2 linked regions of the Notamacropus eugenii genome follow. The protein of the gene in region 1 purifies or fractionates together with the protein of each later gene. This does not show direct contact. Links are inferred from orthologs where the notes say so. Each region holds a gene or a part of one and is shown on either strand. Other genes may lie near its edges. The genes, in order: MYL6 and IQGAP1.

The links.
Region 2: the proteins of MYL6 (region 1) and IQGAP1 purify together in Homo sapiens (affinity purification with mass spectrometry; 4 studies listed by BioGRID and IntAct, counting the BioPlex papers as one, with this or other methods). This does not show direct contact. The link is inferred for Notamacropus eugenii from reciprocal best matches to the Homo sapiens genes MYL6 and IQGAP1.

Annotation. Positions count from the first base shown.
Region 1 is NC_092874.1:231,421,742-231,437,744, reverse strand, and holds MYL6 (myosin light polypeptide 6), read right to left. Parts: upstream 7,386-16,003; 5' UTR 6,533-7,385; coding exon 6,530-6,532; intron 6,006-6,529; coding exon 5,978-6,005; intron 5,941-5,977; exon of another isoform or gene 5,767-5,940; intron 5,091-5,766; coding exon 4,947-5,090; intron 4,501-4,946; coding exon 4,327-4,500; intron 4,229-4,326; coding exon 4,151-4,228; intron 3,722-4,150; coding exon 3,693-3,721; 3' UTR 3,676-3,692; intron 2,907-3,675; coding exon of another isoform or gene 2,878-2,906; 3' UTR 2,693-2,877; downstream 1-2,692. Other genes in the region: SWI/SNF complex subunit SMARCC2, read left to right, coding at 323-399; MYL6B (myosin light chain 6B), read right to left, coding at 8,052-8,080, 8,244-8,321, 9,022-9,195, 10,078-10,221, 10,479-10,506, 11,378-11,554. UniProt on the Homo sapiens protein: Regulatory light chain of myosin. Does not bind calcium.
Region 2 is NC_092872.1:249,254,354-249,271,154, reverse strand, and holds the start of IQGAP1 (ras GTPase-activating-like protein IQGAP1), read right to left. Parts: upstream 6,054-16,801; 5' UTR 5,815-6,053; coding exon 5,760-5,814; intron 4,150-5,759; coding exon 4,050-4,149; intron 1-4,049. UniProt on the Homo sapiens protein: Plays a crucial role in regulating the dynamics and assembly of the actin cytoskeleton.

The sequences.
Region 1 (16,003 bases):
TGTGTCCAAATGGTCCCATGTCTTCATCACCTGACCCTGTCATGAGAGATATCGCTGCCTCAAGCTTAAACTCCTAGTAGACACTCTCAAGGTTGACCTAGATCACTTATTAGATTCCTCAGGGGGAGTAAGGGAAAGATTTGGGGTACAGCAACCTTCTCCATTATTAGCATTGGGCTATCCACAGAGAGCAAGGTGGTAGCAAGTATCCTCCTCATCCTCTGTGAGCTTCATACCCTGGCTGTGTATTTGTCTGTCTGTAGGGGCCTCAATCTGAGTCTCGTCTTTCAGTTCAGCTGATTGATCTATTTCTTTTTCACAGACCCTGGTACCCCAATACCCTCAGATCCCACAGCCCCCAGCCCAGGCACGGTCACCCCAGTGCCACCTTCGCAGTGAGGAGCCAGCAGGACACCTCTTCTCTGCTCATTCCTGGTTTGGAGACTTGGCCTCCTGGAACAACCTGCCCACCCCAAAGGACAGAACGTGCCGCCTCCCCCCATCCCCTTTACAAGTTGGACCTCTCCCCAGCCTGGACAACCCATCACTACGTAAGGAAAGTCTGCCTTTCCCATTTCCCACTGTGTCGGTTTGTGCCTCAAAGGCACAACATTTCTATCTGATTGTATCAAGACTTTTATTTAAAAGAGATTACTAACGTCTGGGGAAGAGGATAGGAGAATACTGTATCAGAGAAGAGGGGCTAATAGGGAGGTACTGGGTGTGGGTATTTATACCAGGTTCTAATTAACCACTTCTTAGGGGTATATCCCCCTCATATTGCAGCTTTGTGGAATTTTTTTAAAGATAATAAATTCAAAAACACTTCTAAAGGGAAAGAAGGAATGGGAGAGGAAACCCACACATAAAGCTTTTCCCCCTTCCCTTCTTCAAATTAAAAAAAAGTTGAGGTGGTTCTGATAAACAGGAACGGTGAAGAGTGCTAGAGTGAACTCTAGAGGGGAGTCAGTGGCCTCTGGGCTCCTTGCCTTTTCCCCAGCTTCAGCACACACCCCACCCCCAACTCTTTTGGAGTAATCAATTCAGTCCTCTCCCCAGATCATTGAGAATAAACTCTGCTGCTGCTTCCTCAGATAATGTCACTGTTTTAGGCCTCCCCACCTTTCCCCTCCTGTCCCAAGCTAGGCAAATTCCTCTAAATGTCAAATTTTGTGTGTGTATGTGTTTTTTTTAATTGGCTGCTTAGAGTGTATATGGTGAGAGTGTGTGTGTGTGTGTGTGTGTGTGTGTGTGTGTGTGTGTGTGTGTGTATGTGTGTGGGGGTGGGGTGGGGCAGGGAATAGACACTTTGGGAGTTTAGAGTCCTTCAGTAAATGGTAGGGCAGAGGGAACTGGAGTCTGTATCTCAAGCTCCCTAAACTTAATAAATTACTTTCCCAGAGGGAATGAAAGGTAGAGTTGGCAGAAGATGGAATGTTTTTAAAACACGAAATTTTAAAAAAGCACTTAAGCACCTCCCTTTTATGATCTCAAACCCTTTCCCCCATCAAGTCCACCAGAAACATTCATTTCCACAAATGATCATCTCTGGAACCAGGGGGTTCAGGGAGGGAAGTGGGGGTGTACAACCTAGAGCTCTTGGCTCTCTCCACTCTCCAAATTCTTCTCCTTGATTCGTCCTGGATGTAAAGACAAACCTGACTTCAACGTGCCCTCCTCCTGGAGCCAGCATCCCTCTCCACACCGTCTCCTCCCACCTGGGCCCTTTGTTCCATGTGCCCTTTTACAATGTACCCACACTTACTCTCCCTTCTGTGGCTCAGCACCTTCTGTTAAGTCTTCTGTAAATTTTCCTTTTTTTTTATAAATTAATTTGCTTTTCACTTCCACCTTGTGGTGGGTTCCTGCTGTGTTGTGTTACTTGACTTCATTAATTGGCAGAAGTGGAATGGACTGGATAGAGAATTTACTTAAAGTTTTTGTTGGAAGCTTTCCACTTTCCAAGATGAGGGTTTTGGGAGGAGAAATCGGAAGTTCTCAGAAGAGATAATAAAGGTGGGCAGAAGATATTTGGCCACCCAGGGCAGAAGATATTTGGCCTGTAGACAAAGCTACAGATCTGATTAGCTTTTCAGGGCCTGGGTAGTTTCTCAAACCAAAGTTTAATTTCCCTGAACCTTTTAGAGACTAGGGGCCTTCTGTCTTTCCCATATTAGGAGATAGGTGAACTCAGTCTTCCTTGTGCTGTGACTTGAGAATGGTTGACATAGTTGGCCCAGTTTAAATGAGGCTCATCTGCAGCTATCTATTCATTGGGGAGGTTGGTGATAACAACTGCTGGGGACAGGAATGGCAGGAGATGTGGTTTTATTTCCTTTCTCTACCTATTTGAAGGCAGCTAGCTGAGACCACCTCAGTTTCCCTGAGGTGAAGAAACCTCTAGGTCCTCAAGTGTAGCCCTTTGACCAAATCCATACTTCACAGAATAAGTCCCCTTTATAAAAGGATTTGTTCTGTAAAACTTCGACTCAGTCAAAAGGCTGCACCCAAGGATCTAGAAGGCCACATGGGGCCTCAAGGCTGCAGGTTCCCTCCTCTGCCTAAACCCTTGGCCCATCCACTCTGGCTTGATTTTGCCCCCTTGTGCCTCTCTTCCCTTAAAAAGAGAAAAAAGGCATCAATAACCTGCCTCCTCCCTGACCACCCCAAGAGAACAAGAACAAACCAGACATTAGGAGCAGAGAGCAAGTTTATTTGGTGAAAGTAGAGAGCAAACAGGCCCAAGAGGACATATGGTGGGGGTTGGAAGTAAGAAGGTTGATAACCCTGAAAATGTAGTTAGTTGCTTCAGGGGCAAGAGGATGATTTTCACACTGAGAAAGTGAAGGGGTTCTTTGTGGAAAGGGGAGTTTGTTCTCAGCCATTCAGCACCATCCGGACTAGCTCTGTGGAGAAAGAAATGGGAATGAGCTAGGGAGCAGGCAAATAGGGGAGGGCTAGCTGAGGGTGGTGGGACATCTAGACCCCTAAGGTGGCAGGAGTGGAAATATCCCCCAGAGTCCAGCCCTGGGGGTGATCATACAGGATAGAAGAGCCACCTCTGAGGTCTGACTTGGCCACATTGCCCCCAGCTTCCCTCCCAAAACCTGTTAGTCTCCATCCCACCCCTGAGCAGCAAGGACACAGCAGAGGTAGAGAAGGCGCCCCCTCCCCCCCAACTACCACCTATAGGCACTGTCAACCCATGGCAGGTAAAGGGGAGAACACAGTGGGTTTATTTTGGAGGAGGGGGAGATCACCTCCAAGCTGCCCAGCAAAAAGAAGGGTAAGGGATTCAACTGTAGCAGGAGCTGGCCAGGCAACCCTCCCCCATCGCCAAAACCCTCACCCAGGGTTATGGACAAGGGCAAGATAGTACCCTAAAGCAAGACTGTCCCAGGCCTGCTAAGTTGCCAGACACAAAGCCCAGGGCAGAATTTGAGGGGCATGTGGAGAAGGGCTAATACCCAGACAGTCTTCCTTTATGCAGCGGGACTACCCTCCCCTTCCCAATCAGACAGGTCCATGCAGACATGCTAAGAGAGAGTGAGAGGTAAGAGGCAGAGGCAGGGGACAAATAGCCAGAGAAGAGGGGGAAGGCAGGGAAGGGACCAGAAGGAGACACGGAAAGGTCAACTTGGGAGGAAAGGGAGGAGAGGCTGGGAGGAGCCGTACCCGCCCCATGGGGCCCTTCACCCCGACAGGATATGCCTCACAAACGCTGCAGGAAGGAAGAGACATTAATGGTGAAGACAAGACACAGACATAGGGTGGTGGGGTGTCACACAGGGATGTGAGGGGAGACATTCTATTCCTTAGATACTTTCCACCCCTCACACCTGGCTCTCTTCCTGCCCTGTCTTTAACCTCCCAAATCAGAGCTAAGCTCTGCCCCTTGCCTGCCTCCAAAGTGCTTTCCGAGCCATCAGCCCACCTGGAGATACAACTCCTTGCACAGAGTGGGGTGCTATTAATTCAGCTGCACTGACTTGTAAGAGAGGTTCTCCTGAAGGCAGCGGGGTTTTCTTTTTTGTCTTTATATCCTCAGCACCAAGGAGGCGCTTGATGCCAACAGACTGCTCAATGACCCTGCCTCAACTTTCCACACTGCTAAATCCTTCCCAGAAAATGCTGAACACGCCCCTCTCACCTTCATAGTTGATACAACCGTTGCTGTCCTCATGCCCTGCCACCAACACTTCTACTTCTTCCTCTGTCATCTTCTCACCTGTGGAGGGGACCAGACCTCTCAGGGAATCAATAGGGAAGGACTCCCAAGGACTAGAGGGAACCTAGAGGTCTGGATTTGGTGGAAGGAGGTCTTACCCAGGGTGATGAGGACATGTCGTATTTCAGCCCCCATGACTGTGCCATTCCCTTCCTTGTCAAACACCCGAAGCCCTTCCACATAGTCCTCATATGTGCCCTGGTCCTTATTCTTTGCCACGGTCTGCAGCATTGGTAGAAAATGTTCGAAGTCCAGCACCTTCACATTCATCTCTGTGCCAGAGAAAAAGGGGGGGGTTAACATTAGTGGCATCAGGTCAGAATGGCTATTTCCCACATTCCCTGGGCTGAGGGACTCTTGAGAAGGAAGCCACATCACCATTACATTGGCTCATTTTGGATTGTATTTTCTTTTGGGTTTTTTTTTTTTGAATCATACGTTTTCCAGTATAATACCACAACATTTCAGAACCCTCTTCTGTAACAGCAACCATAAGCCAAACAAAACAGCTGAGGTAAAACTACAAAATCAAACAGCCTAACAATCTGTCGTCTCCCACCTCAAGCAGGAAACTCATTTTGCCCTCAACAATTGCCAAAAGGAACCTTGTACAGTTTGGGCACCCCCACATACACTAAGCTCTCCATAGATAGGTTGGACAGCATTCTTAAGAGAATTCCTAAGTGCACCCCCAGTCAACCTGGGGGCCCTCTCTCACCATCACTCTTGGGATTCCCTAAGACCTTGAGCACCTCGGCATTGGTGGGGTTCTGGCCCAGAGCTCGCATCACGTCCCCACACTGGCTGTACAAGATCTTTCCATCCCCTGTTCGATCAAACAGCTGGAAAGCCTCCTTGAACTCTAGAGGGGGGACAAGAGAGGAGTGAGTGTCCGAAATGGAGGTCGATATCCCAAGTACAAGCCAGAGCTCTGGACGCATTCACTTTTGTCTGGAGAAAACATACTCCCGGGTAGGTAACACTACCAGGCTGCATCTGGTTTCACTTCTGATCAGGTTGCCCAAAGGACCCACATAATCATGTAAGCGTCCTGATCCTTGCCTGAGCTGGGGGCACCCCATCTCCCTAACACCCCTCTAGTTTCCCTCACTTCAAACTTCCCGGAGCCCCGCCTTTACTCCCGGGGGTGGAATGCGCCACCGCCCAGCCTGGGTTCCAATCCTTATAAGGAAGTAGGTGCAGCCCCGGCCTCAGGACATCCCAAAAGGGCCAGTTTTTTCGTCCCCATTCCCTAAATGGACTGGGCTTCCCGTCCATCCACGACCAGACAGCTTCTGCCGGGTCTTCGGGGGGCCCGCTCCTTCCCACTCAAATTCCCGGGCCCCCACCTTCCAGAGGCACAGTCCTCAGCCCTTCCCCCAGGTCTGGGCCAGCAACCAGGGCAGAGTGGACGGAAGTGGGTTAATGGGGAGAGAGGCAGGGGCAGGCGGCCGAACAGCCCCCCCAAAACATCACAGCGCACACGAGGGGTTAGGTAGCCCAAGGCTTCACACATCCACCCCCGAAAACAAACTCACCCAATGCCCGGGGCTCAGATCTAAAGAGAGGAGGAGGAGAAGGAGGAGGAGGACAGAGAATCGGAGAGACGGAGTGAGAGAAAAATGGAGGAAACCGGGAGGAGGAAGGAGCCGGGCACCCCGGGGTGCGGATGCCGGAGGGAGGTCCCCGCAGCCAGGAGGGCCAGCCTACGCCCCTCTCCCCCTTCGGGGCGGGTCAGGGGCCACTCACCCGCGGTCTGATCCTCCGTGAAGTCACACTGCGGCCCAACAAAGAGAGGGGAGGACAGGTCAGGAGAGGTCAGCCTCCAGGCTTCCCCCTCCCCGAGCCAGCCGCAGCTCCTCTGCAAAGGGACCCCCGCAACGCCCCGTCCGGGCGCCCCGCCACCGTCCCCCCGGAGCCAGCCTCCCCCCGGGCTCCCCGTCGGGCCGGGCCTCCCCCGGGCTCCCCTTCGGGCCGGGCCTGCCCCCGGGCTCCCCTTCGGGCCGGGCCTCCCCCCGGGCTCCCCGTCGGGCCGGGCCTCCCCCGGGCTCCCCTTCGGGCCGGGCCTCCCCCGGGCTCCCCGTCGGGCCGGGCCTCCCCCCGGGCTCCCCGTCGGGCCGGGCCTCCCCCCGGGCTCCCCGTCGGGCCGGGCCTCCCCCCGGGCTCCCCTTCGGGCCGGGCCTGCCCCCGGGCTCCCCTTCGGGCCGGGCCTCCCCCGGGCTCCCCTTCGGGCCGGGCCTGCCCCCGGGCTCCCCTTCGGGCCGGGCCTCCCCCCGGGCTCCCCGTCGGGCCGGGCCCCACCATCTTGGCCGTGCAGCGCTCGCTCCCTCGCCCGTACCGCCGCCGCTGCTCAATGTAATGGCTCCGTCTCCCTGCCCGGCTCCAATCTGCCTTAGCGCGTCCCGTGACGTCACCCTCTACAGATTTAGCCAATTGGAGGCCGGGCCTGAGGTTTATGCAGATGAGCTTCCTTAGGCCGCTCGGAGCCTCGGCCTTTCCGGACGCGCAGGGGCGGGGAGGGAGGGGGAGGAGAAAGTGGGATGAGAGCTACTCCTATTTTGGGAGTGTCATCAGAAGCCCAGGAGCTATGCGCTCTCCTTCCCCCCTGCTGAGCAGCCCGGGCTGGAGGGGCCAGTGGAAAAAGCCCTGAACTTGGCCTCGGCTTCGGGGATCTGACTGAATCTCTGGGCCCTGCGGAGGCTGGATTCAAACCCAGAGCCCCTGACGCGCTCCAGAGCCTTCACTCCCCCTCCCATAGCCGCTTCTGTGTAAACTGCGTAGCCTTGGCCAAGTCACCAGATTCTCTGGGCCTCGGTTTCTTCCTGGTCCGCGCTGGACTAGACCTCCAGTCCTTGGTCGTACCAGTCCTATGATCTACGGAGGTTAGACACCAGGAAGGACGGACCAACTTCTCCTGGAAGGTGGAGGACTGGCATATCACAGAGAAGGAAATGATGGTTTAAATGGCTGAACTAAATTAAGGTTCCATGCCTTCCCTAATGCCGCACAGTAAATGGCCCCGGAAACCAGGCTTAAATCTCAAGCACTCTTTCCACCAAACCTGGTCCAAGGACCAAGGGGGTGGGGGAGAAGCAGGGAGGGAAAGAGTAAGATGAAATCTTACACATAGGCACAAACCCCCTTCCCCTGCCCCCCAAATAACAGACCAGAAGCTGGAAGTCCATTGCTTTATTACGGAAAATCAAGAGAGGGTAGGGGGACTGACGCAGCAAGTCTGTCCGCTCCCACACGCTCCTTCTCCATTCTCAAGGCAACAAACATTTACTAAGCGCCTACTACGTGCAAGGCACCAGACTTTCATCTCCCCAGGATGCAGGAAAACCTTCTTTCTGACTGGAGAGAAGCAGGATCTGGAGAGAGAGAGTGGTGTTGGGGTGGTTTGGGTACCTAGTGCACTGCGGTCCCTCACAGCTCCCCCACCTCCTATCCCTCAGGAAAAAGAGGAGCTGCACATAAGCTCTCCCAGGGAAAGCAAAAGTCATAGAAACGGCTTCCATTTACATTCTTTACTGCTTTCCTTTAAAACACTTTCACCTACTAATAGTTGGTTCTCACAACAACCCTGAGAGACTGACAGAGTAAATGTCATTCATTTTACGGAGGAGGAAACAGGTTTATGGGAATGAAATGACACGACCATGCAAGCCCTTCATAGCAGAGATGACATCTGAACCCAAGGGCTTGAGTCCATATTCAATGATATTTCCAGGGTATCTTAATGCTTCCAAAGCCCCCAAAAGGTAGGGATGGAGCTGAGGAGATAGGGCTGGGCTGGGCTGGGGAATCACTCTACCTTGGGGCCTCAGCTTGACATAATGTGTTTCAGGAAGGCTGCCAAAGGAAGATGAAAGAGGGGGGTCAGAACCATGCACCCCTGCTCTGCCCTCCCTCCTTGGAGTATAGATGATTTCTCCACTCCCCAGGACGACTGCCTCTCCCAACTCACACACATACTCTCCAAACCTCTTACTTCCACTCCTCCCCACCCTCTCACCCTCATAGTTGATGCAACCATTGCTGTCTTCGTGTCCAGCCAGGAGGGTTTCTACCTCTTCCTCTGTCATTTTCTCTCCTATAGCAGAAGCAGATAAACTTGGAACCTATTCCCTCCCACCCCAACTTCAGCCATACTATTTAGGAGTGGTACTTCCTCATCTAGTCCCCCAAACAGAGGCATCTTAGCCTTCTCTCTCCTTTCCTTTTCCTCCTTCCTCCCCAGTCCCATGCCCCCTATTACAAATTTATCGATACCTTGCTTTTCTTCAAAATGACTTCACTCATGCTAGCAGAATACCTAGGAAGCCCAGGTTTCATTGTCTCCAGGACAAAAGATGAAAGTGACTCTCTCAAAGCCACCCAGCCAATCAGTGGCAGAAGAATTGGAGGCTGTGTCTTCTGATTCATCACTTTCCCACTACACTTCAGGTTGTCAGAACATTAAGAAATTTCCTAGGTCTTGCTCCCTGGAGTTTGGGGTCTTCCCCAATTTGGCTACTTTCCTAACTATTCTTGCTTCTTTAAATATGTCCCTTCCAGGAAATGTCATTCCTTGCCTAGACTGGACTGAAATGGCCACTTCCAATTGCCATGCCTGCCCTGCCTTCCTCTTTCCCATAACATACCTACCCTCCACAATGACCATGAAGCCCACGCCTGCACCTGGGCTGCACCTTGTTCTCTTCCCTTGTTCAGTTCCAAAAATCTGGGATCTTACCCTTTAATCTCAAGTGAACTTCTCCTCCACTCATGAGCCATCTTTTTTACAATCTTACCCAGGGTAGTGAGGACGTGTCGGAGTTCAGCCCCCATGACTGTACCATTCCCTTCCTTATCAAACACTCGAAGTCCTTCAACATAGTCTTCATATGTGCCTTGGTCCCGGCTTTTAGCCACTGATTGGAGCATGGGCAGGAAGGTCTCAAAGTCCACACGTTTGGAGTTCAGCTCTGAGGAGGGGTGGGGGGGATAGAGTGTGCTAAGTGACCCCTTCCTAGGACTCCTCTATCCAACCCTCATTACTTGGGATCTCTAGCCAGTAGATAGTTCCATTAGAACCATCCCATTTAACCCATCTGTATCATTCTAGTTCTATCTGGTTGTTTGTTGTTTGGTTTGTTTTTTTTTAGCAAATAGAATTTTACTGTACGTGCATGTAGATTGTGTTTTATGACACATTATAAATCTTTTATATACGGTATATGAATATGTCATTAAACTATATTTGGAGGAGTCACTGCTATTCTCATCTTTTAGTAATACTTTTGTCTTATCTTTTTAAGGGTCTTTTCTGGCTTCTGCCTAGTTGAACATTAATAGAAAACCTCTCCAGTATCTTTGCCAAGAAAACCCCAAATGGGGTCACAAAGAGTCAGACATGACTGGAATGGCTGAACACCCATGACAAAGTGACATTCATCAATTCATTTGAGCTAATAATTATGAACCTTAGCCAGTTCTGTCACTTTCCAGTTTGTCTGTCTGTTTTTCATTAATCCCTTACATTTTATTATCATAAACACAATCCAGTTTGAATTCAGTCAAAGGACCACACCTGAGGACCTAGAAGGCCACATGTGGCCTTGAGGCCAAAGGTTCCCCACCCCTGAATCTAGTCCAACCCCTATCTGAACCGAATTGCTTCTACAAAATCCCTACCTATGGCAAAGAACCATCCCCACCTCCAGTATTACCTGTAAGGGTACCCAGACCAGCCCCACTCAACTCACTCTTAGAGTACTTAACAACAACTTGTGAGCCCTTGGTCATCATTTCTTTTTTTGTCCTGCTACCATCCTCCCTGTTATGGCTCATAATTCCTGCAGTCTCACCATCATTCTTTGGGTGACCCAGAACCTTGAGCACCTCAGCATTGGTGGGGTTCTGGCCCAGGGCCCGCATCACATCCCCACACTGATTGTACAAGATCTTCCCATCTCCTATTCGGTCAAACAGCTGGAAGGCCTCTTTGAAGTCTGGGAATGGGGAGGGAATTGGGGTTAGCCAAAGGGTTCCCTCTATCCCCAGGTTGGAAGCAGGGCTCAGAATAGTGGACTAAGGTAGAATACAGCAGGAGGAAGAAATTCTGAGGACAGAACTAATGTGGAGGGCAGCTCTGGGGCTGTAAAAAAAAGAGAAAGAGAGAGAGAAAGACATAGGGAGACAGAAAGACAAGACTGTGACAAGGGATTTAGGATAGCAGGGTGGGGGTGGGTGGTTATGGTCTCCTCACCCTCCAGTTGGTCCTTGTTAAACTCGATCTGTGAAGGAAAAGACAGTGTGAAGAGGGGTGGGGTGCCATGAAACCCCCAGTCCAGGCCAGACCCCCTCCCCCATCCCTTATAATTGGCAGCCTCTGTGGAGTGGCCCAAAGGGACCCAGCTGAGAGCTAAGAGCGCCTGAGTCCCATTCCCAGCTCCAAGCCTTAGGAGAATACTAGCAGCGGGTATGTGGGAGGGAGACCTTCCTGGGAAACAAGGCTAATCCAGCACCACCTGTTCCCCTCCCCCTGGCTCTCCCAACCCTGCATCCCTCACATAACCGGCAGTTGAACAAAAGCTAAATTTACCCCCACACCCCCAGCTGTGATTGTCTAACAAGTCCCCCTCCCCACCCTCCCTTCTCAGAGCAGCAGGCTCTTTCCCTCTCTTTCAGCCTCTTTTCCTAGGCCCTGAAGAGTCCACCCTCTGATGGACACTGGCCCCTTCTTTCTCTCTCTTGTGAAACAGTCCCAAGGAGCTGAGCATCTCTGTTCCCAGATTCTTGTGTTCCCCACATCCCTGTTCTCCATTCAAGGTGTACAGGGGTGCCATTATATGCCACATTGACGCGGCAAGAGGGGAAAAGTGAACATGGGAACAGCAGAATTGGGGTGCCTGGCCTCAGAGCCCTGCTAACCCCATTCTATAGACTTAGTATCTGGCTTCTGGGTTTGTTATGGGAGGGGCTAAGGCAATCCTCACATCATTATAGCAGCTCCATTAGCTCCTCCCCCATTTCCCCTATCCCATCTCCATGCCCCTTTATACCATTCATCATTTCTCCAAATCCTTTCCTCCTAAAGAAGCCTCCCCATTCTCCCATCCCTGCCCCCCTCCCTTCATCTTGACCCTTGTGGGCTGAGAGACTCACCACCACTTTGGAGAGGTCAATGGGGGACTCCTGGGGTTTGGTGGGAGCTGCTGAGGCAGGGGGAGCAGCTGGTTCAGGCTTGGGCTTCCCTGGAGGGGCAACGGCTGGCTTGGCAGCAGGTTTGGGGGCAGCAGGTCCCAATGGCCTCTTCACAGGGGCGTCTTTTTTGGGAGCCATGGTGAATGATGGATGACGGGCACAAGAACAGTGCCCGGAGGGGGCACTCAGTTTAAATAGCCAGGGAGTAGTATGGGATATCAAGGGGGCGGGAGCAGAGACCAGACTGGGGTGGGGGGGGTGAGGTGGAGGAGAAAGACAAAGACAAAGTAGCCTGCCTGCCCTCTACCTCTCCTGCCTCCCTCACTCTGGGCCTCCTGCCCCAAGGTCTCTGTCTTTCTGCCCACATTTCCCAAGGCATTTTACCAAGTTACTGCCCCCTCTGAGAATAAGGGAATGGGGGTGATGGGGAACTGGGTGCCTAGATGAAAAGTCTCACCCTTGGGTGAGCAGGAATCACTCCAACAGAGAGGACCATGGTATCTCAGATTTATAGTCACAGATAGAGGAAAGGCTAAGGCAGAAGAGAACTCACACATTTCAACCCCTGCACCCCCTCTCCTCTGGGAGAAACATTTTCTCCCCCTGAAATCTTAATCTCTTGCAGACTAGGAGTGGGATGCATCTGGGAGGAGGGAAGAATTCACAGTTGAGGGTGAAGTTATGACTCACTTCCTCCCCCTCCCCAAAGTCCTTTTCAAGGATCAGGCTATTGGAAGTGGGGTATCAGTATCCATCACCCCTAATCCCAGCTGTTTACACTCCTGCCCCTACCCGGCTCCAGAACCACATATGGTAAGGAGCAAATTGGGAGGGAGGGAAATAGGATAAAGAAAGGACAGTGTGGGAGGCTGGGCTTTGTGCTCCAACACACTATCCCCTTGGCCGGCAAAGGCAGATGGAGGTCAAAGTTAACATACACTCAAGCCTTGGTATTACAGAAAAGGGTCTGGAACGACTTCTGGTGCCAAGAGGCTGTAGCAGGGTCCTGAGTCAGGAAGAAAGGCTAATTCTCCATCCCTGAGTGAACCCAAGAATGAAATCCTAATGAGCCTCCCCATTATTCATTTCTCACACACCAGTTTCAACCCTACCCTACCCTACCCCCTGACTCCAGGCTGGCCAGAACCAGACACAGGGGCAACATGGACTTCCACCCTCACCTAGGTCTGTGCTGCAGGTATTGATCCCTATGGGATCCAAGGGAGAGGGAAAGAGATGGGGAGAGTAACAAGGTTCAGTTGAAAATTCATCATGTTTTAGATAAGGAAACTAAGGTAACTCTAAAAAGTAGATGGAGAAATCCTGAAATGGTCACCTCTGAGACTATAGTTCAGAGAAGGATACCATCAAGAATCTATGTTTGAATTCCCTCAGATCTAATACTAACAGAGGTCCAAAAGGTCAAATCTCGAATTCGAGCGCAGGCTGGAATCTTCTGTATTTTTAGCATATTTTTTTTTGTGGAGGAAATAAATAGCTGTCCTATATCTATTGAGTATCTTTCCATTTCATATTTTGGGGAGACTCTAGACATGGGCCAAACCCAAGTTTTAAGAGAGTTCCCCTTAGGCTCTCGGTTTGGGGGTGGAAAGAAAGAGTGTGACAAAAAGATCATGACTCCTCTCTGAAAAAAGACCAGGCTCCCACAGGACTGAACCCAGGTCCTCCAAAGTGAGTCCACAACTGAAGTGGAAGAGTACAAGTGCCATCAAACTGGCTTACCAGTAAGTGGGGCTACACAAGGGAAAATCAGCCCAGAAAACTAAATGACTTGCTCAAGGGCACACAACTGACCAGTGTCAGAGTCAGGATTTCAGCTCATGTCTGTTACCTCCAAATTCAGTGCTTTCCACCATACCACCAAGTTTTCCCAGCTCTGTTGCCTGAGTTACTTCCCTTCTCCTAAGCGTCAGATTCTCTATTCATCAAAAGCAGATTAAAGCTAGTGCAAAGGTGAGTAAAGGGTGTAACCCAGTCTCCCACACAATAACTCTGATGGATTCAAGGAAATGATTGATTCAATCTAATCTAGTCCTAGCCACAGAGCCAAACGCCACCCTTAAATTTAAATTGCCTATGTCACTGAGTGGTTCTGATAAGACCACTTATGGGTTAATTCTGAGCCTGCCCATCCCCAAAGGATTCTGGGAGTGGTAGTCTCAGCCTATGTCTGGACCTCATGGAAAATGTAGTTCTTTTCTCTTAAAATGGTTGCTGAAAGCATAGTTGCAGACTTTCAGCATTTAAACCTTTAAACAGTTGGTCTTCACACTTTTTTGATCACCTGTCTTATGCAAAAAAATTTGAATATACCCTCATATATGTATACTTACTTATACATAATATATATCCACTGCCTTACTAATAGTCTATACATAATGAAACCTTCAAAAAGAACAGGAGTTGTTCAAGAATGAGATAAATATCAAATAACCAACTTTTTAAAAAATTATTTATGTATTATGATCATTTTAGTGAGAGTAATGTGATTGAACTTCATTTCTTTTTAAAATTTTGATCTAATAGTCAATCAACAAATACTTATTAAGCACCTACTATGTTCCAGGTCAGGTTACTGACTCCCCAGTGGCCTTGAGGCCACATGTGGCCCTCTAGGAACTCAAATAGAGCCCTTTGACTGAATCCAAGGCTAATCTCGAGGACCTAGAGGGCTACGTGTGGTCTTGAAGCCAAAGATCCCTCACTCCTGTTCCAGGTACTATGCTAAATGCTGGGGATATTAAAAAACAAAACAAAACAAAATCCAAACACAGTTCTTCCTCTTAGTAATATAGTGGTTTTCAAGGTCTGGTTCTAAATTTACTTTATCTCTTCATAATAATAGTAAATACAGATATAGCACTTTAAGGTTTGTAAAGCTTTCATACATATGGTTTTATCTTACTGAATCCTTCTAACAACTCTATGAAGTAAGTGCTAGAATGAGGAATCAAGTTTAGAGAGCTCAAGGGACTTGCCCAAGGTCACATAGCCACTAAGTGTTTGAGAAAGAGTATCAGCTTAGATCTTCTTTATTCTAGGTCCAAAAGGCTATCCGTCTCATCACTTTGCTACGTTTTTACTTGGTTACAACTGAAAAGACATTTCACAATGATACAATGATGCCAATGGAAAAAGTGTAATGTGAGTTGCTTCCTGAATCAGTGTTCATTTTTCAATACAATCCACCAATTATGTAAAGGATTGTTGTTGCTGATAATGAAATTCAACCAGTAGATTTCCATTTTCCCTAATGGGTTGGGGGAAGGACATGGTCTCTAGTGGTAAGGTTCTTATAACTCTTCCTGGTAGGGGAGAAGGGGGCAGGGGCAGGGAGAGGGCAAAAGTCTCCTATAGGGCTTCTTCATTTGCTTCCAAGCTGTATTATGGCATACAGTGGTCTCGGGGAGGGTCTTGATGGGAGAAGAACTGCAGATCCAAGACTGGTACTCCAGTGCTTGATTCCTGAGTGCACAGGCAGCTGCCACCATTGGTTATTGGTGCTACCTGCTCCTTGATCCTATACTTTCTGTGTCTGCTCCTGTGCAATCTCTCTTATGAGTAGGTGCATGTGTGCTCAGGGGTGGACTAGGGGCAGAAAGTTAAGGTGAGCAGCCAGGAGTTAACATTCTCTGAAAACATTCCCCTACCCCTAGCCTGGCTGCCTGACTATCCATTCTGTTGTTATTGCTCAGTTGTGTCCAACTCTTTTGTGAACTGTGGACCATAGCACATCAGCACTGTCCATGAGGTTTTCTTGGCAAAGATACTGGAATGGTTTGCCATTTCCTTCTCCAGTGGATTAAGGAAAATAGAGGGTCACAAAGTTTGTAAGTGTCTAAGGCCAGATATGAACTATGGTCTTCCTGACTCCAGGCCCAAGGCTCTACCCACTGAATTACCTAGCTATCCATTTTGTAGGGATACCTATTTTTGAGGAATCAGGTTCTTTCTTTGAAGCCTAGACCCCAGGGTCCTGGAGTGGTGCGTATTCAGGTCAGGAAACATATGAGGAGCCCACAGCTGCTGCTATAGCCAGGGCTAGGAAGGGAGGATAGAGATGAACTGAACCTGCTGGTAGATGTGGGTAGGACCCTGGCTGATTTTCTAGCTAAGAGTAAACTCAGCCTGCATCCAGGTGGGAAATACCTATCTGCCTACCTGCCTGCTTGCCCAGGAATGCAGATGTTTGACTGTTCCCTCCCTGGGAAAGGGAGGATGTAAAGTCCCCAAAGCCAGTAGGATCTACAAGCTCATGGCACAGCTGAGCTGCTCCTAAGTTCTGGTATTTTCTTCCCACAGCCTAGTGAGTTGTCTTCCACATACTTGAGATACCACTGACTTAAACGTTTAGTGCGCTGGCTCCCCAGGGGTCTTAATTTCCAAGGAGTATCACTACCTTACTTCCATGGTCTCCCCCAAACCCCAGCAGGGCTCCCACTTAGATTGGGTGAGTTCCCTCTAGGTTGGAGGTGAGAGAAACCTTTGAGAGGGAAAAGACTGAAGGTACTGCTAGAGGGAAGGAAGTTAGACTTCAGGAAAGACTTTCCAGAGTGGCCAGTAAAG
Region 2 (16,801 bases), on another chromosome or scaffold:
TCTCCCTCAAGTAGATGAAGCATATATCCTTTTCCCCTGTGTTTAATGAGGGTCTAAGTAAGTTACAGGATCTTGTGTGTATGTTGGTCTCTCTTTCTCATTCACATACACACATACCCCATACCCCGACTCCTTTCTTCTTTCTCTCTTCCCCAGTTACCCTAGGAAAAATCTCTCCCTCTCTTTGTTCCATTTACAAAATAAGTGATCACCGCTACCAGACATAAGAAAAGTGGTAGTAATATGCCTCCACTATAGGAAAGATAGTTTTAACATTTTAAATTTTTATTGATAACCTTTGACTTTATAACATCCTCATCTCAGAAGATATCCCTTTCCCCTCCCCTAAAAAGTGAGGTATCCCTTGTAACAAAGAACAGAAAAGAAAAAATGCTACAGAAAAACTAAACAACACATTAACAGAGTCTGACATCAAAGTATAATGCTGCCTCATTATCCACCTTCTCTGGGGGGGAAAAGGAATGAAGAAAGAAGGGACAGAGGGAGGGAGGAAGGAAAAGAGAGAAGGAAGGAAATTTTCTCTTCTGCATAATCATAATAAATACAAGAATTCAGTTTCATTTGTTTTGGTTCTTGCTATACTGGAGATATGCTTCCATAATGCTGTTTACTTCACTCTGCCTCAGTTCACATAAGCCTTCTTGCAAAAAAAGTCGTAAATTTTAAATTAAATTTGAGGGTAATGAACGTGGAGTAAAAAAGCCTTGTTTTGAAACCTTGTTTTAAGAGCTTGACACTTGAACAAATCACTTTACCTCTCCAGGCCTCAGTTTTTCCCCTTGTAAAATAACGGTGTTAGACTACATGTTCTCCAAAGTACCTCCCACCACTATACCTTATTTTATGTTCCTACGACACCAAACCCTCACAATCAACCTATAAACACCTTTGAATACCCAGAAATGCCCTTTGGATTCTCTATAAAAACTTCTATCTACCTCCTAACTGTCCTCTAATTAACCCTGCTTTTCTTTAACCACCAGTATGCAAGGTAAGTAAAATTCTATGATTTAACTTCCACCAAAGTTGATTCCAATCCCTCCATTCCTTGACAGATAGCTTCACAAGTTGTTACAACAATGACAAAAAAATTCCGTATCGATGGCCAGTATTCTGAGTTGAATCTCTCCAAACTTAACTCGGCTGGTTCTTAGATGACAGTCTGTCACTAGACCCACATTAAAATCCTTTCCAGACAGATAGGCTCTGCCAGAGCATGTACCTCACTGGCTTTACCTTTGAGAACCCACGGTCACCTCCAGTCATGATGAGGCATGGAAACAAGCCTTTAGTAGAATTACTAGTATTGCAATAAATAAAATTTTTTACTACTGTCTACTGAAAAACTATTTCAGCTATACTGAATTAAACAGGCTTTTTTGAACTAGCTTGGGAACCTAACCACCTGGGGACCCAAACAGTGGCTCTCAGCTATGTGACTTTGGGTAGGTAATGGAACTCCTTAAAGCTTCAGTCTCTTCATCTGTAAAATAGGGATAATGGTATTTGTTCAGCCTCCCTCACCCAGATGTTGTAAGAATTAAGATAACTGTAAAATGCCTTGTAATTATCAAGAATGACACAACATTTAATAACTCTTATTAAAAACACTGTTTCTACAGCAAATGAACTTGAAGCTTCTATTTGCAGGTAAGAGCAATCTATACCGGCTCTGACCAGCCAGGGCACCAAGATACGTTTTCACAGGAGAAGACGGCAGCCTCTCTCAGTGACACCAGCCTACAAGGTTAGAAATCTGTTCCTATGCTTCTCCTTCATTGCCATGAACAGACGAACTTATGGAAACGCTTCTGGGCCTGGCTATATTTTCAGCCTGCATCCCAGTCCCAACTGTGTCATTAACCTGAGAGTTTTCTTGGGCAAGTACTTCATCTCTCTGATCCCCAATTTCCTCCAAGATGAAATTAAGAGATTGTGGATCAGATTACCTCAAAGGTCACTTCCAGCTTTATAAGCCTATACCTGGGTCACTTACTCCCTACTGTGTAAAGAAGCCTCTCCTACTCCAAATGTTATGGGACACTCACCACTTCTGATAGTATACAAACGAATGAGTTAGTTTATTTTACCCATACCTTCATGGTATCACAGACTTCAATCTTTAAGTAATTTAACTCTTATTTTCATGGAGCCTGACTTCGATGACCACCACCGTAAGCCATCTTACAAACTTCCACTTGAAGATTTCTAGATGTTACTATAGATTCATTCAAGAAGACAGGATACTCAGAGACCACAGGCCCTCCAAAAATTAGTCCTAGAGAGACCCTGCTTTTCTCAGATCTGCAAAACTCAGTGTCTCACAAAGCAGTTCCTAGTTCTGGGTAGGGGCTGGACCACCAAGTAAGAATGAAAAAAACTCTGTCCTTGGTGCTGCCTAGCAGGTCTACCTGGACTTCTCTCCCAAGTATGAACACAACTGTTTTGGGAAAGCCCAACTGTGCTAATGTTACTCCTCTACACAAAAACCTTAAATAGTTTTCCCTTGCTTACAAAATGAAATCAACAATCCTGATCAAGTACTTTCACAATCTGAGTTCAACCTGCTCATCCTGCCTCTCTCCTCTTCCAACCAAAGGAGACTATTATTCTCCATTCTTCTCTAGCCACCTCCAGTCTTCATGGCTTTGCTCATGCTTTCCCCTATGCACCAAAAAGATTCCCTGGAGCATTTCCACATTCTAAAATTCCTCTCTTCAATGCTCAATTCAGCTACTGCCTCACCAACTCCATATCCACTGAAGTAAAGGTGATTTCATCCTCCTCAAATTTCTCATAGCACTGTGAATTTACCTTACTTTCCCTTACAACAATTATTTGTGTGGCTCTCCTTCCCCACTTCGATTTTAAGTCTGAAAGAGGGGTTAAGTCATAATCTGTTTTGGCATCCCCTGTGCCCTGCAAATAATACAGCCTTAGTGAATGGATGGATTTATGCACAAAAGAGAATTTGTTCATAAGCAGTGATAGCTTCCAGAATGAGGTGACTGCTTATAGGTAAGCATTAGGAAACATTTTTATAACAGCTTTGTAAAATAGCTCAATTTGAAAGGAGTAAACCTCTGAAGGACCACACATAAGAGCGACTTCATAGAAAAAGGTCCACCTCAGCAAAGAATTGGAAATTGAGGAGATGCCCATCAATTTGTGAATGTCTCAATTAGTTGTGATATATGAATGTAAAGGAATATTATTGTACTATAAATAATGATAAGCAGGCTGATTTCAGAAAAACCTGGAAAGATTTATATAAACTAATGCTGAGTGAAGCGAGCAGAACCAGGAGAATGTTGTACATAGTAACAGCAATATTGTGTGAAGATCAACTAACTGTGAATAACTTAGTTTTTCTCAGCAATACAATGATACAACACAATTCCAAAAGACTCATGATAGAAAATGCCATCCACATCCAGAGAAAGAACTATGGAGTCTGAATGCAGATTGAAGCATATTATTTTAATGTCTTTTTCTTTCTTGTGGTTTTCCCCTTTTGTTCTGATTCTTCTTTTAGAACATGACTAATGTGGAAATATGTTTAATATGATTGCACAGGAATAACCTATATCAGATTGCTTGCTGTCTTGGGGAAAGGGGAATGGAGATAGAAAAAATTTAGAATTCAAAATCTTATAAAAGTTTACACTAAAAACTAAAAAAAAAGACAGAAAAAAGAAGAAAAAGGGCTACCTCTTATGCTAAAAGTTCAAGACCGGATAGAAAAGAAAATGTTCTGAAGGGAATAAAGTATGGTTAAGCATTGAAAAGCACAGATCTCAGAGGGAGGAGACTTGGAATATAGCCCTAATTCTGCCCTTAACTAGTTATCTAGATGTCCTGTAAGGGGTGGGAGCCTGAACTAAATGATTTTCCAAGTTCCTTCAAATTAGCCCTAAGCTCATTTGCCCTCACTACAAACCTAAGCTCCCACGGACACAAGTACCAAAGAGAAATTCACACAAACCAAGATCCTTGTCTCCATTTATTGCCAACCACCTTTTCCTTACCTCTTTGCTTCCTCTAGGTGACAAAGGTACTCATAAGCCACATTCTGATGTCTCCTCTCATCCATCTCCTCTGCAGTGAGCCTTTCATTATCCAAGACAGCTACAAAATAAGAGAAATTATATAAATATGGAAATCTGTAGCTTACATCTATAGAGATGTAAGAAAGCCAGATCAGTTGATCCTGACTCAGTTTGGTAACTTCCCACTCCCCTTGGCAACAAGTGTTGCCAGGTATAATATAATGACCTTATTCTTGCAAGGACTTTGGGCCCCACCTATATTATTTTTATCAAAACGTAGTAACATAAGCATATATCTGACTTTGCATCTTACTGTTGTTAATGAAACAAGCTAATCTATAAGAACCTTATTTCCAGTGCATAACTTGAAACTAAAACCCCTACATCATCAAAGGGCAGGGCCTCTTTCAGGAGGAAAAAAAAGGGAACTGGGCTGGGTCTCCCTTTTCCCTGGTAGAACAGATGTAACAATGTCCAAAACCCTAAGAAAGCAGAATTACTTGACAGATTGAATAAGGAAGCAAGTTCCTTCCCTTCCCCTTCATTACTTTCAAGATCCTGGTAAAAAGAAAACTATAGCCCTGAAAGGCTCAGGACACTTCAGAACAAAGCTTGGATCTATGAGAGCTTTGAGAAGGCAATCTCCCCACTTTGCAGAAAGGAGGGGAGGGAAACTATGGTGCAGAACACTGCATATAACATAAAACTCTTCATATATTGGCTGGTTTTGCTGAACTGATTTTTTTCCCCTGGCTTTGTTATTTTTTGATTGAAGTGATGGCCCTCAGAAGGAGAGAGGGGACATAAATCAATAACATTTTATCTTTCCTAAAGACCTAGAACACAGAATAGAGACAGCTCCTGTGATCTAGAGATCGTCTGCTCCAATTCTCTCATTTTAGAAAAAAAGGGAAACAGAGGCCTAAGTAAAACTGACTTGCCCAACTGGGGTTCCACAGTTAGCAGAAGTGGGTTAGAGCCCTGGGTCTCCTGATTCCAAGAGTGCCCCATTCCTTCACCACACCAAGATGCCCCGTCTCTAAACTCCACGCGGCCAGAGCTCTTTTCCACTCAACAAAACGTGCCTCCCATAAATTCTCAATTCTCCCTCATGTTTATTTGTATTTTTGGTGTTAGGGACTCCTACGTCGGTGTGGGGAGCCTGTGGACACCCTTCTTCAAATTGCTTTTAAATGTATAAAATACGTGAGATGACAAAGGAAATAAATGCACTGAAACATTTAGCAAGATGGTTTAAAAAAGGTAAGTTCACGGGCCCCCCAGTCCGGGACTGGCAGGGAGCGCTCTTCGGAGCCGCCCAGCGCGGGACACGGGGCTGCGCTGCCGAGCGGGCCTCCTCAGCCTCAGTTTCCTCCACCGGAGGATGGGTGTTTCCTCCGGGGGGTCCGAGGGGCTGGGGGCCATCCACACCCTCACCACCCCCGCCAACCCCCTCCCCGAGCCCGGCCAGCCCGGCTCCAGCTGACAGACAGAAGTGCCAGGACGGCCAGCTCCCGGCGTGATCGGGGAGGGGGCCGAGGCCGCGGCCCCAGAGCCCGGACAACGGGCGCGCCCTGCCCTTCCGGGTCGGCGCGGCGCGGCCCCAAGGGGAACCGGAGCCACCTCCGCCTTGGGCCGGCTGGGCCTCCCCGGGCTCGCCCTCCCGGCCCCGCCCGACCCCGGACTCACAGCCATAGTGCGGCCGGACCACCGCCAGTCCGTCAACTTCGTCCGCGGCGGACATGGCTGCAAGAGCGAGACGTGCGCGGCGAAGCCTCGGAGGGAAGAGGCAGGCGGCGTAGCGCTTCCCGGGCGCGGCAGGGGCAGCGACAGCGGCGGAGGCGCGCTGGGTGTGACCGTGCCCGCGCCCGCGCCCGCGGCCCCGCCCCGAACCCGCAGCCGTAGGGGGAGGGAGGGGGAGAAGGTGGAGGCCGACGGAGGAGGCGGGGCCCGAGAAGCCCCGCCCACACCTCCCTTCCCCCGCCCTCTATGGGCTGCGGCGCTGCTTACGGCGGATGAGCCATCCCAAACTTGCTCGGCTCTGTCCGCCCACTCTCCTGGCTTTGCTTTCTCCGCCTGACTTTATGATGCCTCGGGGGCGACCCGGCCTTCCGCAACCCGCGCCTGCGCCCCCTGGGGTTGGGGGTGGGGGCTCTGGGGAGCCCGTGGTTAAATTTAAAGTGCGAGCGTTTACCCCTCGGAAATTGGCGGGCGCGGCAAATCCACCGAGCGGGGCTCGAGGCTGATGATGGAGGAAATGTTACTAATGGTGGAGAGGGGTACCGGCGTTTATGAAGCGCTCCACAAATATTACCAAATTAATTACCACCTTGGAGCTTTACGTAATGCAGAAGAAACTTCAAAGCGCACCCTCCCTACTTTTTCCGGGGAGAGACAGTGGTTAAACACTTACCGGCCCCACCCCCAGCCCTCCCCGGGGCTCCCCTGGGTCGGGGCTTCGGGTAGGCCCCGAGCTCCCCAGGCCTGAGCTCTAAGCCGCATTCCAGCTGTGCGGAGAGGGAGGGGGGAGAGCCACACCTGCCTCCGCAGCGCCCCATGACGTCATCCGCCTCACCTATTCCCCCTCCCCCTCCTCAGCCTCCTCCTCCACGCGGTGCAGTGGAGCTTTCCAAGCCTTCGCTTATTAGAGCCTCACAACGCTGTTGTTATCATCCCCATTTTTACAGAGAAGGTCACCGGGCTAAGGGGGGTCAGAGGCAGGATCTGAACTTAGGTCTCCCTCCTGACTTCATGTCAGGGATCCAGCACTATTCACCGCCCCACTCCGCCGGGTTTCCTCCTCTTAAAATAAGATGGTTCTGGATAACTTTGTAAGTTTCCTTCTAGTTCTAGGTCAGTCATCAAATGGAATGATACAAAGTGTCCCAGAAGTTTTGACGTTTAAAACTGCACTGAAACTTTCGGGATACCCCATAGACATAAAGCACTTTGCTTTATAATGTTATGTATTGTATATGGTATTGTATATTATACATAATATATATTATATACACGATGTATATTGTATATTACAATATATATTACATATATATTGTAGAGGGCTTCAGAACCATATAAAAACTAGCTATTATTATTATTATTATTCAGTGATGAAACTCATTACTCTCTCTAAAGGAATCGGGATCATAGGACCTATACTATAATATTATATATGATCAGTTAGGTGGCCCAGTGTATGGAGTGCTGCGCCTGGAATCAGAAGACTCGTCTTCCTGAATTCAAATCTGGCCCCAGACACTTGGTGTGACCCTGGGCAAGTTACTTAAATCCATTTGCCTCAGTTTCCTTATCTGTAAAATGAGCTGGAGAAGGAAGTGACAAACCAGTATCTTTGCCAAGAAACCCCAAATGGAGTCATGACCACCAAAAAAAATAGCTGAACTAAAATTATATATTATCATACATATTTAACATTAACATATGATATTTTATAATAATTAATTTTTAGTGTCATAATGTATAAAATTAATTATTGGTCATAGGATAGCAAAAACTCTTAATCTGGTCCCCATTGGATAGATTTCAGGGAATCTATAAACTTGTATGGAAGAAAAATTACATCTTTATTTTCACTCATCACTAAAATGTAATATTTCCTTCAATTATCTAAAATTATTATTCTGAGAACAGGTCCATATAAGTTTTACTAGACTGTAAAGAGGTCTTTCACACACACACACACACACACACACACACACACACACACACACACACACAGGTTTAAAACCTTGCATTTTAGTATTCAGAGCAGGAAAGAACCTGACAATTCTTACAGATGGGTGGTACTTATTGTCCTGGGACATTCTGGACCCAGAAATGTTTCTTGCGAATATTTACATAGCAAAAACCAGCAACAGCTGCAAATCAAGGCCTGTTTTGTGAATTGTCTAGACTGAAGAAAATAATGAAAGAAATCTTCATGTCAATTAAATTTAAAAGTGTTCCCTGAATATCTTTTTTACTTTGAGGAGCCAGGTGATAAAACATTTCCTAGAACACCCCAGGGTGAGTGTGCTGATAAATGTTTAGTTTAGGTCCTTTTTAACATAAAAAAATAAACTGAATTGCGACCCCTCCCCCTCTTATAGTTGTAGAACTATTAGCATGAATTGATAGAGAAAATGCTTGACAAAAGTGATTATGTATCTGGTAACACTTTTGAATAAATTTATATTTTTAATCACAATATCATCTACATGCATTTGTAAAGTAAGACAGAATTTGTTCTGCTTGATTATGAATATTTATAACAAGGGCTATTATAAAAAACTTTTTCTCCATTTGGAAGACTGGGGGTGGAAAGGGAAAGATTCATAGAGACAGTGTAGGGAAAAGAAAAGAGGGTCATGGAGGCAACTTTTAAAAAAATGCAGAAAAGAAAAACTGAATGAAGACCAGAAAGAACCACAGAAAAGCTGGAAAAGCTAAAGGTTAAATATATTATATATTTTCAAAGAAGGGCAAGCCACACAATATAATGATCATCAGCTCCATGTACCATGTTCTTATTCTGTTCCATTGTGTATATGTGTATGGAAATGCTCATTTCACTTGGTATTCAGAATATTTTTAAAAACTAAAGCCAGGTAATACATATTTGTGAGAGCCGTGGCACAGACGTAACAGGCATATAACCAGACATATTTCCTCTGAGTATTCCACAGGGATAAGATGACAGCTAACATCCCATTTATATACAGGTTTGTGTGCTCATAAAATATTTCACAGATTGTCTTTGGCAGCCTCTAACTTGCCCAGGTAGTCACCACCTGAAATGACTATTGCACACATAATGAGTGCAAGGGGGAACTGAATTTAAAATTTGGAAAATTGAATTTGTTGTTGTTCAGTCATGTTTGATTCTTTGTGGCCCTATCTGAGGATTTCTTTTTCTTCTGAGGCAAAGAGGTTTAATAATTTTTTTCAACTATATATAAAGACAATTTTTAGCATTCTTTTTTTTCATTTTGAGTTCCAAATTTTCTCCCTCCTTCCCTCACCTCCCCCCTCCTTGAAACAGTAAACAATTTGATATGTTATACATATGTAGTCATGTAAAACATATTTCCATATTAGTCATGTTGCAAAAGAAAACGTACAAAAAGAAAAAAATATATGAAAAAATGAAGAAAGTGAAAAATACTATGCTTCAATCTGCATTCAGATTCCATCAGTTCTTTCTCTGGAGGCAGATAGCATTCTTTATCATGAGTTCTTTGAAATTGTCTGGGATCATTGTATTGCTGAGAATAGCTAAGTCATTTACAGCTGATCATCATACAATATTGCTGTTACTGTATACAGTGTTCTCCTGGTTCTGCTCACTTTGCATCAGTTTGTGTTAGTCTTTCTAGTCTTTTCTGAAATCATCCTGCTTATCATTTCTTATAGCATAATAGTATTCCATTATAATCATATGCCACAACTTGTTTATCAGTTCTACAACTGATGGACATCCCCTCAATTTCCGATTCTTTGCTACCACAAAAAGAGCTGCTATATTTTTGTACAAATAGGTCCTTCCGAGCATTCATTTGGACTAGGTTTAGTCCTTGGTTTAGTGGTTTCTTGGGCCAAATGCCTCTACCTCTCAGGCCCTGGAGCAGGTCACCCAGACTATGAGTTACAGAGAAGTTTCTGACGTGTTAATGGAGAGAATTCCTACATCTGGAGTTAATGAAATCTCAAGTCTAGATTTTTAGTCTAAAATTTTTTTTTTTTAAAGTGAGAATCCATGGAAAAATCTTCTGATCATCTGGCAAAAGGATCTGAGGAACTTGTAGCACCACGAGAACATAGAGCTGCCAACTCCACCCAGCTTCCGGAGCTACTTACAGACTTCCTTCAAGTCTACAAGTGCTCCCCAGAGCATTGTTAGTTCTACAGAAACTTGAAGATTTACAGTGGTGCACACAGAGTTCTGCCAGCTATGGTGGAAACAATTTGTTTCCTGACAGTAAAGCACAATAGAATCCATAAGGGGAAGGAGATCATGTGTACTGGTGAGGTAGAGCAATCACTGGGACCCTAGAAAAGAACCTTCCTGAGCAAAAAAGGTTTGTGCCAGGGTCTGATCAGAGATCAAAGAAAACACTGAACAGGGTCAAGCTATTTCCATTGGACAAAATCTTGTAAGCATCTACAATGAGAAAGACACTATGAGGATACAAGGAAAGACTACTGAGGATACAAAGTCAAATATGAAAGTCTCTATCTTCAAGAACTTTATGTGCTAAGAAATCTTAGGATTCTAAGAGACGGAAGTAAAGACAGAGTGCATTACAGAGGGGAAAGGCTGTGCAAAGGTGGAAGAGAAAACCTTGAGTTCAGAGTAGAGCAAATATGTTAGTTTAGCTAGAGCCTAGGGTCAAGACTGAGAAGAGAGGAAAGTGAGACCGACCACAGGTAGGGGTTGATGAAGTAGAAGAACAGGAAAGGATGGAAGGACTGGAAGTCATCGGTAAAGACAAAGAGCTTCAGGAGTGAGGCAAAGGTAGAAATGGAAGGACAGGAGACTGCAATCACCAAGTGTGGAGTACTGGTGAGATAACATATGTAAAGTAGCTTGCAAACCTTAAATCCTATGTAAATGTTAGCTATTCTAGTGAGGTAAAAAGTGTGAGTGGATTAGACAGAGTGGAGATAGAGGTCACTGAAGATGAAGAGGTTGATGAAGAGACATGTATGTCAAAGTTACAAAGGATAAGGACGAGTTAGGATAAAAGAAGACTAGGTACTTGAGCAAAGGGTGATAAGCTGGTAGATGATCACAATGAAGATTGAGCAGAGTGATAAGGATAGATGAAGGAAACCTCATAGGAAGAGAAATTGCTGAGTGAAGACATCAGAGGAATGAATGAATGAATGAATGAATGAATGAATGAATGAATGAATGAAAAAGCATTTATCAAGTTTTGACTTACTATATGTAAAGCATTGTACTAAGCGCTGGAGATTCAAGTAGAAAAGCAAGACAGTATCTGTCCTTGAGGATCACACATCCTATTGGAGGGAGAAGACACATAGGGGGTTTCAGCTGCAGGTAAGATAGAAAATATCATTGAACAGAAGCAAAACAGATGAGACTGCATCTTCTTCCATGTTATTTCCATTGAATAAATTATACATTTTTGACATTGCACAATTTGACAGAGCCAAGGACTCTGGTGAGAGAACTTTCTTTTCAGTGTATTAGTAGCTGTGGCTACTAAGGAGGAAGAGCTTTGGCATCAGCACCTGAAGAGAGAATTGACAAGTTGCATCTCCGCTAGGTTTGTTCCCCTGGATAATGGCTGCAGGGACTTGACTGGTAGCAGGATTGATAGTCTGAATGGTACCATTATTTCTGAGGCTTTGGAGATTACTTGCTTATTGGTTGCAACTGGTCAGCAGTTATTATTGGTGGTAAGACGAGCAAACCTTCTCTCCAAAAGGTTCCCTTTAATGATGGCATTAAGGACCAGGCTGGAATTAGCATGGGGGGACTGAGAGACACTGCAATTCCCAGGGTTCTTCAGCTTTGCATGCTAGGCTAGTTCCACACTGATCCAAGGAAAGATGGTATTTAACATGATGGTAATGGTTCAACCAACCTGGCACATGCCCTCTCCTGTCTCTTTCTTAGGATGCTTTGCTGCTTCAGCCAAGCTGGCTTGTCTGGCCTTGGCAGAAGTTCCATTAAAAAATAAAGAGTATTCTAGTATTCCTTCCAGGCCCATTGAGGTGAGTGAGATGAAAGAAAGGTTGGCTACAAATGGAGAGAGCAACAAGGGACAGAAAAAGCTAATGACATTTTCTTTCCAGAATATGCAACCCAGAGCAGAATGTTTCTTTTCATTCTGCACACTCAGACATCATTAATGGACCAGTATAGATTTATGCCACTTCTCCTACACAAATCTTAATTGTTCATATATTGTAAACTATCCTGCTTTTTGGTAACTTCCCATTTTAATTATTTAGAAACTATAGTATATCATGACTTACAGTCATACTGAATCCCTAGAAGAATATTACAGTTCTAAAGAGAGATCTCTGATTTGGGTATTTCCAAACACAATTCAATCTACTATCTTCCTCCTATTCAATTCTGGCTCTATCTGTCCAACACACACACACACACACACACGTATATAAAAGACATACACAAATGGACTAATTCTGTTGGCCATACATCATGAGAGAGAAATATGAGATAAGTTGGTTGATGTCATGAGAGTAATAACCAATGTACAACCTGCATGGTCTCATACTATAAAAACAGTGTCAAAAGATTTAGAGGAATGATCCCAGAACATGGACAGTTTACTAGAGGATGCAGATAAAAGGTACCCAGAATGAGTATTGGATGGGCAGTGATTTACACTGTTGAAAGATGAGATCCCAAATCTATGAAGGTTTTGAGGGAAAGTTTGAAGACAGCACTAGCTTTTTGCCCACATATCTTTCTCCTTCCCTCTCCATCTCCAGCCTTCCTCCTCCTCAACCTTTCCCTTTATCTTTCTCTCTTACTCCCTCCCTCCCTCAATCTCTCCCTCTGTTTCTCACTGTCTCTCTTCTCTCCCTCCCTTTCTCTCTCTTCTCTCTTGCTTCTCTTTTTCTCCTCTCTCTCTCATCCCTTTCTCTCTCCTCTCTTCTTTCTTACCTCTCTCTCCTCTCCACTCATCTTCTCTCTCTTTCTCTTCCTTCAGAGAGAGAGACAGAGACAGAGACCAGAGACTTGTAAACTACACAGAAATCTCTTAAGGATGTAACTCTGCATTGGAATCTGGCCCAGTCAAAGGGTTACCACAGAGATTTAGCCACTTCTTCAGGATTCTGTCTGCCACTGAGTTCATTAAGTATGTGAAGGCTTCTGAGATTGTTCACAAGTTGAGAGAGAAGGAGAGAGAGGGAGAGAGAGGTAGGGAGGGCAGAGAGAGGGAGAGAGGGAGGGAGAGAGGGAGGGAGGGAGGGAGGGAAGGAGGGAGAGAGAGAGGTAGGGAGGGAGAGAGAGAGAGAGAGAGAGAGAGAGAGAGAGAGAGAGAGAGAGAGAGAGAGAGAGAGAGAGAGAGAGAGAGGAAGAGAGAGAGGGAGAGAGAGAGAGAGAGAGAAGGAAACTGTGACCCAGAGGTAGAAAGTTAGGTCGCCTCCATCTTGAGACTATGTGGACTTTTTCAGAGTCAAACATTCAACATAGGATTTCCTCTTGTCTCTCTCTTTCAAAGACTGTGAAAGAAGTAAATATTGCTAACCCAGTGCCAACCAGCCCAGTTAACAGCATAGCTGAAATAGGCAGGAATGATTGTGGCTGCTGAGCACAGCAAACCAGCCTGGGTACTGCCCTAAAGACAAATTTCTCTTCCTACAGCTCTGAGCCATAAAGAAGGCAGCCACTCTTAGTTGCCACACTCTTCCTGAATTTATGCTTCTCTTCTTCTCTCTGGGTGGAATAAGTTAATGCAGGAAAGCCCTGGTTCCTGTGGCAGCCGACAGTGTCTACTCAACATATGTCCACAATAGTTCCCTTTTCCCCACTGCAATTTTTGTCTATTTCTTTGCCACTGTTTACTTTAATGATACATGAACTGTATTAGCAATTGCTAATCTTAATTTATGTGTTATTGGGTAGATGATAGAAATTTGAATTCAACATATTCTAGAATAAAGAGATATTTATCTAGCACTATTGTGGAGGCAAGCAACAAGCAGGAGATTTGCAGCTAAGCAATGGACTCTCCCTGGAAAGTCCAAACTATTATTAACTGATGGTACTATCTATGACCGTGGGCCCAAAGAGGGGAGAGCCATTAATAACTTGATGTGAATCATCTCCTCCTACTCTAGTTTCCTTGTGACCCTGAAACCTGGGGATTAGAAAAAGAGGAGTGGTTTTTATTCTGTGTCTTAAGGTGCACACTCCTGAATTTCTCTCCTCTCTTTTATCCCTTCTTCCTTATTTATTGCTACACATGGGGTTACCTAACCACAGTAACCATGTTATTCTTAGGGCACCTGTGACATGTGATCCCTACTACCATCTATATATCCTGAATACTTTTTTCAAGAAGAGAGGAGGTCCATGCTGAAAGTGGCATCTTATTGAGGGCAATGAGTTTTTGATTCTCAAGATTGCTGATAATGGAGGGAAAATAAAGTTTTGGGGTGGGGGTGAGATATCACAATTTTAGTACCTTTTTTTCTGGATTCAGATTTTTTTTAAATTTATTTTTTTGTTGTTGTTTTCAACATTCATTTCCACAATATTTTGAGTTCCAAATTTTCTCCCCATCTCTCCCCTCCCCCACCCCAAAACACTGTGCATTCTGATTACCCCTTCCCCCAATCTTCCCTCTCTTCTATCACACCCCTCCCTTCCCTTATCCCCATCTTCTCTCTTCTCTTGTAGGACAAGATAGATTTCTATACCCCATTACCTGTATTTCTTATTTCCCAGTTGCATGCAAAAACAATTCTCAACATTCATTCCTAAAACTTTGAGTTCCAGCTTCTCTCCCTTCCTCCCTCTCCACCCATGCTCACTGAGAAAGCAAGCAATTCAATATAGGCTATATATGTGTAGTTTTGCAAAAGACTTCTATAATAGTTATGCTGTGAAAGACTAACTATATTTCCCTCCATCCTATCCTGCCTCCCATTTATTCTATTCTCTCTTTTGATCTTGTCCCTCCCCTAAAGTGTTTACTTCTAATTACTCCCTCTTCACATTACCCTCCCTTCTGTCATCCCCCCATACCCCACTTATCCCTTTGTCCCCTACTTTCCTGTAATGTAAGATAAATTGTCATACCAAATTGAGTGTGCATGTTATTCCCTCTTTAAGTAAAATGTGATGAAACTAAGCTTCATTTTTTCCCCTCTCACCTCCCCACTTTTCCCCTCCATTGAAAAAATTTTTTCTTGCCTCTTTTATGAGAGATAATTTGCCCCATTCCATTTCTCCCTTTCTCCTCCCAATATATTCCTCTCTCATTTCTTAATTTTATTTTTTTAGATATCATCCCTTCCTATTAAACTCACCCTGTGCCCTCTGTCTATATACGTGTGTATGTGTGTGTGTGTGTGTGTGTGTGTGTGTGTGTGTGTATAATCCCTCCAACTACCCAAATACTGAGAAAAGTTTCAAGAGTTACAAATATTATCTCTCCATATAGGAATGTAAACAGTTCAACTTTAGTAAGTCCCTTCTGAGTTCTCTTTCTTGTTTACCTTTTCATGCTTCTCTTGATTCTTGTGTTTGAAAGTCAAATTTTCAATTCAGCTCTGGTCTTTTCATCAAGAATGCTTGAAAGTCCTCTGCGTTATTGAATGACCATTTTTTCTCCTGAAGTATTATACTCAGTTTTGTTGGGTAGATGATTCTTGGTTTTAATCCTAGCTCCTTTGACTTCCGGAATATCATATTCCATGCCCTTCAATCCCTTAATGTTGAAGTTGCTAGATCTTGTGTTATCCTGATTGTATTTCCACAATACTCAAATTCTTTCTTTCTGGCTGCTTGCAATATTTTCTCCTTGACCTGGGAACTCTGGAATTTGGCTACAATATTCCTAGGAGTTTTTCTTTTCAGATCCCTTTCAGGAGGTATTTGGTGGATCCTTTTAATATTTATTTTATCCCCTGGTTCTAGAATATCAGGGCAGTTTTCCTTGATAATTTCTTGGAAGATCATGTCTAGACTCTTTTTTTGATCATGGCTTTCAGGTAATTCCATAATTTTTAAATTGTCTCTCCTGGATCTATTTTCCAGGTCAGGTGTTTTTCCAATGAGATATTTCACATTATCTTCCATTTTTTCATTCTTTTGGTTTTGTTTTGTAATTTCTTGGTTTCTCATAAAGTGATTTGCTTCCATCTGCTCCATTCTAATTTTTAAAGAACTATTTTCTTCAGTGAGTTTTTGAACTTCCTTTTCCATTTGGCAAATTCTGCTTCTTAAAGCATTCTACTCCTCATTGACTTTTTGGCCTTCTTTTGCCATTTGAGTTAGTCTATTTTTAAAGGTGTTATTTTCTTCAGCATTTTTTTGTGGTCTCCTTCAGCAAGCTGTTGACTCGCTTTTCATGATTTTCTTGCATGTCATTCATTTCTCTTCTCAATTTTTCCTCCACCTCTCTTACTTGATTTTCAAAATCCTTTTTGAGCTCTTCCATGGCCTGAGACCATTGCATATTTATTTTGGAGCTTTTGGATGTAGAAGCCTTGACTTTTATGTGTTTCTCTGATGGTATGCATTGTTCTTCCTCATCAGAAAGAATGGAAGAAAATACCTGTTCACCAAGAAAGTAACCTTCTATAGTCTTATTTTTTTTTCCCGTTTTGGGGCATTTTCCCAGCCAGTTACTTGAATTTTGAGTCCTTTGTCAAGAGGAGGGTAAACTCTAGGGACCTGTAAGTTCTCAGTTCCCGCAAGGTGACACAATCAAGGGAGAGAAGTTTACTCCTCTCCTGGCCTGTGCTTTGGTCTGAGAGCAACCATAAGCACTCTTCTGCCCAGGATCTGCAAGTAGGATTCCCTGTCCAGAACCTCCAGGAGCCAGCACTCCTCCTTACCCCAGGACTGCTACTCAAGTCTGAGACCCAGATCAGCCTCTTGATTCCCCCAGGGTCTTTAGGCTGAGGGCTACAGAAATGGACACTGCTGCCACCTGGGACCAGGGCTAGACCATATTCCTTTCTAACTCAGGTAAAAGAGCTTTCTCACTGACCTT